2 linked regions of the Arabidopsis thaliana genome follow. The protein of the gene in region 1 interacts with the protein of each later gene in a pairwise test. Each region holds a gene or a part of one and is shown in the gene's direction. Other genes may lie near its edges. The genes, in order: AT1G19740 and AT3G59300.

The links.
Region 2: the proteins of AT1G19740 (region 1) and AT3G59300 interact in a two-hybrid assay, tested with the Arabidopsis thaliana proteins (one large-scale study listed by BioGRID).

The regions. Positions count from the first base shown.
Region 1 is NC_003070.9:6,822,168-6,826,102, forward strand, and holds AT1G19740 (ATP-dependent protease La (LON) domain protein), read left to right. Parts: upstream 1-2,154; 5' UTR 2,155-2,228; coding exon 2,229-3,065; 3' UTR 3,066-3,292; downstream 3,293-3,935. Other genes in the region: AT1G19720 (Pentatricopeptide repeat (PPR-like) superfamily protein), read right to left, coding at 1-443; ATTRX4 (Thioredoxin superfamily protein), read right to left, coding at 996-1,139, 1,240-1,365, 1,764-1,853.
Region 2 is NC_003074.8:21,917,119-21,922,572, forward strand, and holds AT3G59300 (Pentatricopeptide repeat (PPR) superfamily protein), read left to right. Parts: upstream 1-1,961; 5' UTR 1,962-1,969; coding exon 1,970-2,021; intron 2,022-2,127; coding exon 2,128-2,251; intron 2,252-2,368; coding exon 2,369-2,585; intron 2,586-2,694; coding exon 2,695-2,797; intron 2,798-2,884; coding exon 2,885-2,949; intron 2,950-3,072; coding exon 3,073-3,189; intron 3,190-3,286; coding exon 3,287-3,385; intron 3,386-3,598; coding exon 3,599-3,752; intron 3,753-3,900; coding exon 3,901-4,010; intron 4,011-4,184; coding exon 4,185-4,334; intron 4,335-4,439; coding exon 4,440-4,535; intron 4,536-4,627; exon of another isoform or gene 4,628-4,648; coding exon 4,649-4,759; downstream 4,760-5,454. Other genes in the region: AT3G59290 (ENTH/VHS family protein), read left to right, coding at 1-356; AT3G59310 (solute carrier family 35 protein (DUF914)), read right to left, coding at 5,198-5,297, 5,393-5,454.

The DNA.
Region 1 (3,935 bases):
GTAAACAGATTTCTCTCACGCATTGAATCAAACACCTTACGTGCATCAGCAATACACCCACATTTAGCATACATGCTCAACAGCTTCGTCTCCACAAAGACGTCAGGTTCAGTAAACAAACCAAACCGAGCATGAAGGATACGACCCAAATGGATAGAACCAGAATCAATACACGATTCCAACAATTTGAGGTAAGTGCTTCGTTTTACCTTGGAACCTTGTTGAAACAACGAGTCCAGAGCTTTCTCAGCTTCGAGCAAACTTCCGTTTCTACACAAGTAATCGAATTGCTCGTCGGGAATGATATTGGGTTCTTTCTTCTTGGTGAATGATAGGTTTTTCTTTCTGGATTTTGGATGAAGTTCAGGCGAATTCTCTACTTTAGCTGGAGTCTGATAATTCAAAAAAGTTTTGGGAAATGATGGTACGAAGAGCTTTTCCATTATCGACAGAACTGTTATTAACTTGAACACGCTCTAAAGTTTTCTCCTTTATCTCCGTTTCCTCTTTGAATTATCAACGAGAGTTCACAAGATTACAGAGTAAGCTCAGCGAAGAAGAAAGAAGATAAGAAAGCACGAAGAACCTCGGTAATGGGTTCGTTGGCAACAAAATATGAAACGTTTGGTGGATAAGAATTTCAACTTCCAATCAAATTATAACACGTGGAAACAGCTGCTCGCACAAAATTATTTTACACCTTTGCAAGGCCTCAGATTTCAGATATTCAAATTATGATATGCATGGAACAATTCATTCACAAGAGTCTATTTCACTGATCTGAAAATTCGACTGAGTGGTGGTCTATGGAGGTATAGAAAGAACACCTAAACATATGAATTAGGCAAAAGCCAAAGACCATATAAAAAAAGCATGGTTTTATGACAGTCAGAGATCAATAACTTCTACTTCATCTCCAATCTGCACTATTCCCGTTATGTCTAGCTAGTTTAAGATAAACAAATTAGACCTTATTATTTATGCCTCAAACTGATTTACGCAGTTGTAACACCAGTATGCTTCACTATTTTCGCCTGAAGATCTTCTTTATTCGCACCAACGAGCTTATCCACAACTTCGCCGGCTTTAATGAACACAAAGGTTGGCATTGCCTCCACACCAAACTCTTTAGCAACACTCTGTTAAACATCATCACAAGTATATAGAATATATCAGTGTAATTCTAAAGTCTAAGAGTGAGGAGATTAATTTGTTTGTAAAGAAAGTGTATTTGTTCACCTGAAGTTCATCAACATCCACCTTGAAGAAGATGGCACTTGACATGAACTTCTTGGCCAAATCGTTGAAAATTGGAGCAATCATGCGGCATGGTGGACACCATGAAGCAGTGAAATCAATCACAATCTGAAAACAATGAAATTATCACACCATCAGAATCCTAAATAACCCAATCCAAAATGATTTTTTTTACCAGAGGGGTGACTCTGAGCTACAATAAGGAAAAGAGGAACACAACAAAAGTCACAAAGATGAATCAATTAAAGAAAATACTCTAAAAGTTTACACATCAAAACGTAAGTTTCACTGATGATTCACTTGCCCTCACATCTAATGTTGTGATCTCCTTAACAATCCGTTTATTCCAACTCTACGTTAGCCGGAATCAAAACCTATACCATAACATGTGAAACCATAATGCTTTCTTTGACACTAGAAACAGTAACCCTAATCAAACAAAAACCTAATTCCCAAATCCAATACAACCAAAGAGAATTGCATAACAAAGGGGTGAGAATCGAGACCAGCTTGTTGGATTCTTTGGCTTTATCAAGTTGCACAGTCCATACATCGTTCGTGTGACAACCAATCACTTGACCCTCTTCTGCCGCCATTTCTCCCAAATCTGAGAATAAGCCAAAATCTCCGATCACCTTTTTTTCTTTCTTCCGTTCATCTTTGTAACCTATATATGACCAAGAGATATTGACACAATTACCCCTGCAAATTCATGGTTACTACGAAATGATATCCAAGTGGACCGGTGTCTCAAATGCATGTACTACACACTTACACACGAACCAAATGGCTCGTATATATTTTTATTTCTATTCTAAACAAATTTCTAGCCACAGGAATTATGAAATAAAAATATCTGATGAAATATATTTTCTCAAACAGATAAGGTTTAATTTTAAAGACGAAACAATTAAAATCTTAAATCAATTTCGCCGTTCACTTGTGAAACCTCTCCTCCTTCACTCTCTCTAATGGCGCTTCCAAGCACTGTCTCATCTCCTTCCTTCAAATCAACTCCACCTTATCTCTCCGCCTTCAACCCTAAACCTCTACATCTTCCAGCTACTTACCGGAGCATCAACCGTCGAAGCTGTAAACTCCTCTCCTTCCGTTGCTCATCCTCTTCCTTCTCCGAGAAACACCACAACAACGCGAATCCACCCAAATCAGATGACTTAGTCGAGCTTCCTCTATTTCCACTACCTCTCGTTCTCTTCCCAGGCGCAACAATCCCGCTTCAGATCTTCGAGTTTCGTTACCGAGTCATGATGCAAACGCTTCTCCAATCCGATCTCAGATTCGGCGTTGTCTACTCCGACGCTGTTTCAGGCTCCGCAGCTGGAATCGGATGCGTCGGAGAAATCGTGAAACACGAGCGTCTAGTCGACGATCGATTCTTCTTAATCTGTAAAGGTCAGGAACGATTCCGAGTCACCGATCTCGTCCGTACGAAACCTTACCTCGTCGCGAAAGTGACGTGGCTTGAAGATCGACCGTCCGGTGAAGAGAATCTGGACGAATTGGCGAATGAAGTTGAGGTTCTGATGAAAGAAGTGATTCGATTGTCGAATAGATTGAATGGGAAACCAGATAAGGAATCTCAGGATCTGAGGAAGAATCAGTTTCCGACTCCGTTCTCGTTCTTCGTCGGAAGCACGTTTGAAGGAGCTCCGATGGAGCAGCAAGCGTTACTGGAGCTTGAAGATACGGCGGCTAGGTTAAAGAGAGAGAGGGAGACGCTGAGGAATACACTCAATTATTTGACGGCAGCTTCTGCTGTGAAAGATGTGTTCCCATCGCAGCCATAGTTTAATCGGTATTTAGATATTTCTTCTGGTCTCCGTTTCGGTGTTTTCAGTTATTATTGGATACATTATATTTGATCAATGTGTAAAGTTTCAGAAACTTAGGTAATAGATAGTGGAGATGTGTTTCATAGGATCGTTTGGATTGATCAAGAAATGGGTTTTTACTTGATTGCCTCTATGATAAAAGATTACTCTAGTGATTCAAGTGTTGTTCTTAATACGAAGCGGCTCGAGTTGGCATTTACATTGAAAGCCTCTCAAGATGCTCTCTTTTGCTTATTCGGATCAATGCCAGACTCTGGATTGCCTCTATGTTCATAGGATTATATACAGTAGTAGGATTGATCAAGAAAAGGGTTTTACTTGATTGCACTAGTAGGGTTCTTGATACCAAAGAATGGCTTCTTGAGTTGGCATGTTCAATGAAAAGCATGTACATTTTCATCTAAATAAGTTTGCTTGATCAGAGTGTTTCAATGCCTCATAGCGTTTTAGTACTGAAACTGTTACACCCATGATGACTCGAAGAAACATGTCTAAAACTAGTATAGAATCTTTAGATGATAAGCTGAAATGTAAGATCCATGAAGGTTAGTAATTGTTACTTTGTCTTTTTGAGTTTATTAATAAGAGGATAAATTATGCACACTTGAGCTATGCCTCTGGACCACTTTGGCTGCCTCAGTTTCTGTGTGAAGACTGCTTAATTGATCTGGTATTAGGATGTGTGATTTGAATTAATGGGTCGCGTGTAGCTTCTTTATGTCTATGGACTATGGGTAGTGTAGTTTCTTATCATCAATATTTAAAAGATTGATTAAGTTCTAATGCATGTAGCGTCATAGAAAGAGTGTGGGGACATTTTAATGG
Region 2 (5,454 bases), on another chromosome or scaffold:
ATTCAATGGTAGGCTCAAGCATGCCCACGGGCATGAATGTTGGTGGCTATGGAGGCATGAACCAACACCAACCCATAGGCATGAACCAAAACCATCCCATGGGCATGAACCAAAACCTTTCCATGGGAATGAACCAGAACTATCCCATGGGAATGAACCAAAACTATCCAATGGGAATGGGCATGAACATGAACATGGGCGGGTATGGACAAGGGTATCCGATGCAACCACAACAAGGAATGGGCATGGCTCCTCCTGGTGCACCACAAGGCATGACCGGTGCCTATAATCCAATGATGGGTCAAGGCGGTTACAACCCTCAGCAGCAGCAACCATATGGTGGAGGTTACCGGTAAGATTCGAGCCAATCACGGTTACCCATTTTACTTATCATGGTAAAAAGAGAAAACATCAAAGAACAGAACACAATCAGTTTGACCTGGATTTGTAAATTTTATGGTCGGTTCAGGTAAGTTGGGGTTTGGTCAGTCATATTATTGGATTAATACCTCAGCTTCATCAGTTATTTTGCTTTTTCTTTACAAAAATAATTCTCGACCAAATTGAGTTTTGTTAGGAATTTTGTAACGGGTAAAGAGAGAGACAGAGAGGCACAACCTTCACTCGGGGTTTGCTATATACATATGTATTTTGATATTATACGTCTTTTTGTAATACATTGTCCACTTCACGTAACAAATAACAATAAAAGAATTATGTCAATGTATATAGGTTTTGGTAACGTGAAGTATATAAATCACGGAAAAGTCAAAAGAAAACTGCAAAATATCTGAAAAGAAACGAATAAACGGTGGAATGATGACTTTATTTTTTTGGTAACAAAAACTAAATTGTAAAAAACATACCACGTAATGCACGTATTACCGATTGAAGTGAATAGTCCTCGGAAGAATTTTCATTCCGTATACCAATGTCTGAAAAAGAAGAAAAACTAAACAAGTACTAAACTGATGCAACTCACACAAGTCATAATTGTGTGAATTTTCACTTAGGTTCACTAAACCAGAGTTTATACCAAACAAAACCGTACTAAACTGATGTAACTCACACAAGTCACAATTGGTCGTCAATGAGTCAAGAGTTTTTTCATGAGCATTAAATAAAAGAATCAAAAGAATATCCATATATCCATCATTTTAATTCATTACAATTCATTTTTTTTCAGATAGAAAAAAGGATAACGAAAATTTCACAAAAGCATAACGAAAAATACCAACCACACCAACCTTTCCCATGATCTAAAAAGAAAGAAAAAAAAAAATCAGTATTGCCATGACGACAAAAAAAGGAACAAAAACAAAAAAATAAAAACAATAAAGAAAGCTGAAAGTTTCTGAAGTCTCTCTGCAACATTTAATAGATGCGACAGTAAACATAAGAACACCAAACAAAAACGTGATCAGCGACGGCAACGAAGACGGCGAAGAATACGGCGGACACGAGGATTCCCAACGATCAGATTCTTTGACATTCCACGGCGGCTTAGATATCAGCTTCTCCGATCCGCTCTCTCTGTTTGTGTAAATCATGGTGATCGCGGCTGCTTCCTCTTTTTCCCTCGGTACTTCGCCATTCTTCGAGATCTCTCTTCATTTTGTTTCATATGTATTGTTCATTGACTAATCTGAAGTTAGTGCATGGCTGACAGAGACGAATTAAAATTAACTTCTTTTTTTCATTAATGGCGAAAGCATTTGGGAGATTCTTTTTGGTTGACTTGTTTTGATATTTAATCGAATTGGTTTGTTTAGCTCGATCGAAATTTGTTTTTTGGTTCGTGGGTTATCTCTGTCGTCGAATTGTTTTCTTCAATCTTTATGCTTTTTGGCGTTTAGCCTGAAATTAGTTTCATTTTTCTCTGCTTTGAATCTAAACGAGACCTCAGACAATTATTTCTGTGTCAAGTTTTGTTTTTTTTTTAATTATTTTTTGTTTTTTTAGGAATTAAATGCTAATGTCATTGTTAGAGATCTTTAAATCTGATATTAGTAATTCTAAAGGTCTCTCCTTTTGCTTCTTCTTCCCTGAAAATTTCAATTTTTGTTTTTTTTTTGTTTTTCTGTTAAAATTTGGGAGCAGTGAACAATCTTGGTATGTATTTATCAGGTCCATCTCATTGCCATCAATCTTACACGGATGAGTTCTCTTCCTCCATACCTTACAAAAGAACCAGCAATGCAAGAAATCGTGTGTTTGATGGATGTGGCTCTGCTAATCTCTCTGTTTTAAGGTATTTGTCAATAATGAAGAAACGTGTGTCCATTGTTTTGATTTTGGAGTGAATTTGATTGAAGTGTAAATCTTATCATCTTTGTGATTGTCATGTAATGTGTTTTCCTCTATTCAGTTCCAGATGCAAGATTCCTTTTTTTGGATCAGCATTTCATGTATCATCCGGTGGACATGATCTCGGCCTCACGAAAGTTTCGGTTGCTGCTGATTATTCTGATTCGGTTCCTGATTCATCTTTCTATGGATATCATCCTCTAGAAGATTTGAAGCCGTCCAAAAGAGTCCAGGAGACAAAGCTCTCTGCTTCTGAAGTTGCAAGGACTACCGTCGAGGTTTATAGCCGGGAAACAACACAAACCATGACTTCATATGGACTAGAACAGTGTGGAGTTTTGCTATTTTTGAGTATGCGTGAACACGGTATTCATTTTTTACTTGTAGGCGAACAGCAGTGCTGTGCTGGTGTTTCCTGGAGCTATTCACTGTGAACCACACGATCATAATTCATGGTCCGAATTTAAGTATGTCATTGATGATTATGGAGGTTAGTCTTATATTATCGCTCAATATATTTTATATCTATCAATTACTTTCTTTCTCACCAGCTTCTTTTTTTTTTTTTCCAATTTAGATATCTTTTTTGAAATTCCTGATGATGAGAACATCTTAGAAGATCCTGGAGCTAGTAATCCAGTGGTAAGCGTGTCATTTTGATCAAGTGGAATGTCATGTATATGTCCATAGTTGATAACATTTCTTAGCTTGGTATAAGCACCATGTCCAACACCTATTAATCGAAGTTTCATCTTATACTTGTAGAAAGCCTTTTTTGGAATGGATGTCCCGCGATACGAAAACACACGGCACCATGAGGAATATAACATTTCAGACATTGGTAATCTTGACCAAATTATTTTTGATGACCATTATTTCGAGGTAGGTTGGAGCTGTTGTTGTAGTCTCTTAGTTTTCTTGCAAAGCATGCCAAGTCTCTTGTCTTATTAATGCTCTGATTACTTTGAAATATGAGTAGATTATGGATTCTGAAGCTAGAGATATTCCGATAGATTGGGGAATGCCTGACACCTCCAACGGTGTTCATCCTATTTACTTTGCCAAACACCTGTCGAAGGTTATATCCTATGCAATAGCATGATGAGAAATCTAATAAAAATGACATGCTTTAAACAATGTTCTCACTTGTTTCTGTCTATAAACTTGGAATTTTGCAACGGTTACCGAACCCTCTAGTCTCTTTAGTACTGCGTACAAGCATTATATTTGATACATACTGGTCTTGCATTGCATTGACTATGTAGTTGATTTGGGATCTCTTGTCATGCAGGCCATCAGCATGGACTATGACAGGAAAATGGACTATCCATCTAATGGTGTATCCATACTTGGATGCCTTAGGCCCGCTTTCCTTGACGAGGAATCTTATATAAGAAGATTATTTCTTTCGGAAGATAGAGATGACTATAGCTGGGAGGTTCAAGGTCCTTTCATATTTTCTAGTCCTCAAAATGCTGTTTTTGATTTTGTACCACCTCTTTTACATAGAACTTAGAGGAATCTCTGTACTATACACGTACACATTTCTGTTTGACATCCTGGATTCACCTCCCTTTGGATATTTATCTTCAGGTGATGATAATCCAATCACTAGTTCCAGACGTGACGAGAATGATATGAGTTCAAGTCTATATAGATTAGAGATTGTGGGAATAGAGCTTCTCTCCCTCTATGGAGCAGAGGTATGTTTTTGCCACCTGTCAGGTCATTTGGATGTTGAAAAAATTGCTTGAAACGATGGCTAACATATGTTGAGCTGTTTTGCGAACATTGACTTTCATACAAACTCTCTGTGTGTCATTTTTGTCTCCCACAGTCTCACCGTGAGTTGATCTAGATTCTTTGACTATTTTCAGTCTTCTATAAGTTTGCAAGATTTTCAAGATGCTGAACCAGACATCCTAGTGCACTCTACTTCTGCAATCATCGAGCGCTTCAACAACAGGGGGATTAACTCCAGCATTGCACTTAAAGCTCTCTGCAAAAAGAAGGGTCTTCATGCAGAGGTATTGTATCCATGTCTCTGAATATAATCTGGAAGTACAGTTCTGGTTTACATACCTACCACATTTTGTAACCCAGTTTTGCTACTTTGTGGTAATCTCATGCAGGAAGCTAACCTGATCAGTGTTGATAGTCTTGGTATGGATGTGAGAGTTTTCGCAGGTGCACAAGTCCAAACTCACCGTTTCCCTTTCAAAACCAGGGTGAGAGAAATCTCAAACTAAAACATCAAACAAATATACACCTTTTTCAACAAGAAAACAAAATCATAAGGACTCTGATATGATAATGCTTCTCTCATCATTGTTTATGACAGGCTACAACAGAAATGGCAGCAGAGAAGAAGATCCACCAGCTACTGTTCCCTCGTTCACGCAGAAGGAAGTTGAAGTGTCATGACGAGAGTTTGAAGGATGCATTTCGTTAAAAAAACCGTTGCTGATCAAAGTCACTAAACTAGAAAATGAGGAAACAGAGAAGAAGCTGTTTTGCCACTGGATCTGTCTAGTACTTATACGAGTTCTTTGGCCTGGCGATTGTGTACATAACGATGAGCTTTAAAGTGACTGTTCTAGAACTGTGTGGAGATTCAGCCTCTTACGTTTTAGTAGTAAGTAAACTAAATTAAACCCAAGAATAAAGAGAAGTTGATACAATTGAAGTAACTTCTATAATAGTCCAATGTTGTTCTTACAATGTAAATCTTCGTTTATCTTTACAATCAAGATCAAATAAAGCCCTTTTTCTCACTCTTTACAGTCACCAACGGTGTCCTTACTTTTCTCCACTCAAAAGATCCTTTATTTTTGCTGGATGCAATAATATAATATCACACAGTCGATGGAATTGACAAAAACCTATGTGGTTAGGTTCCCGGCTCATCATCCTCACCTAACAACTTCCTCTGCATAGCCGCCTCGTCGCCCACTTCTTCAAATCTGTGTTCCTCTTGATCTTTCTCCTTCCTGAGAAGCATCCAACATGGGAAAAATGGAGAAGAATAATAAGTTCATTGATGGATTGTTTATTGTACTTGAAAAATGATTAGAAAAGACTGTACATGGAGTATATGATCAGTCCAGTAGCTGTAGTAGCAAATGCCAAGAAGTAGAGCCAATCAAC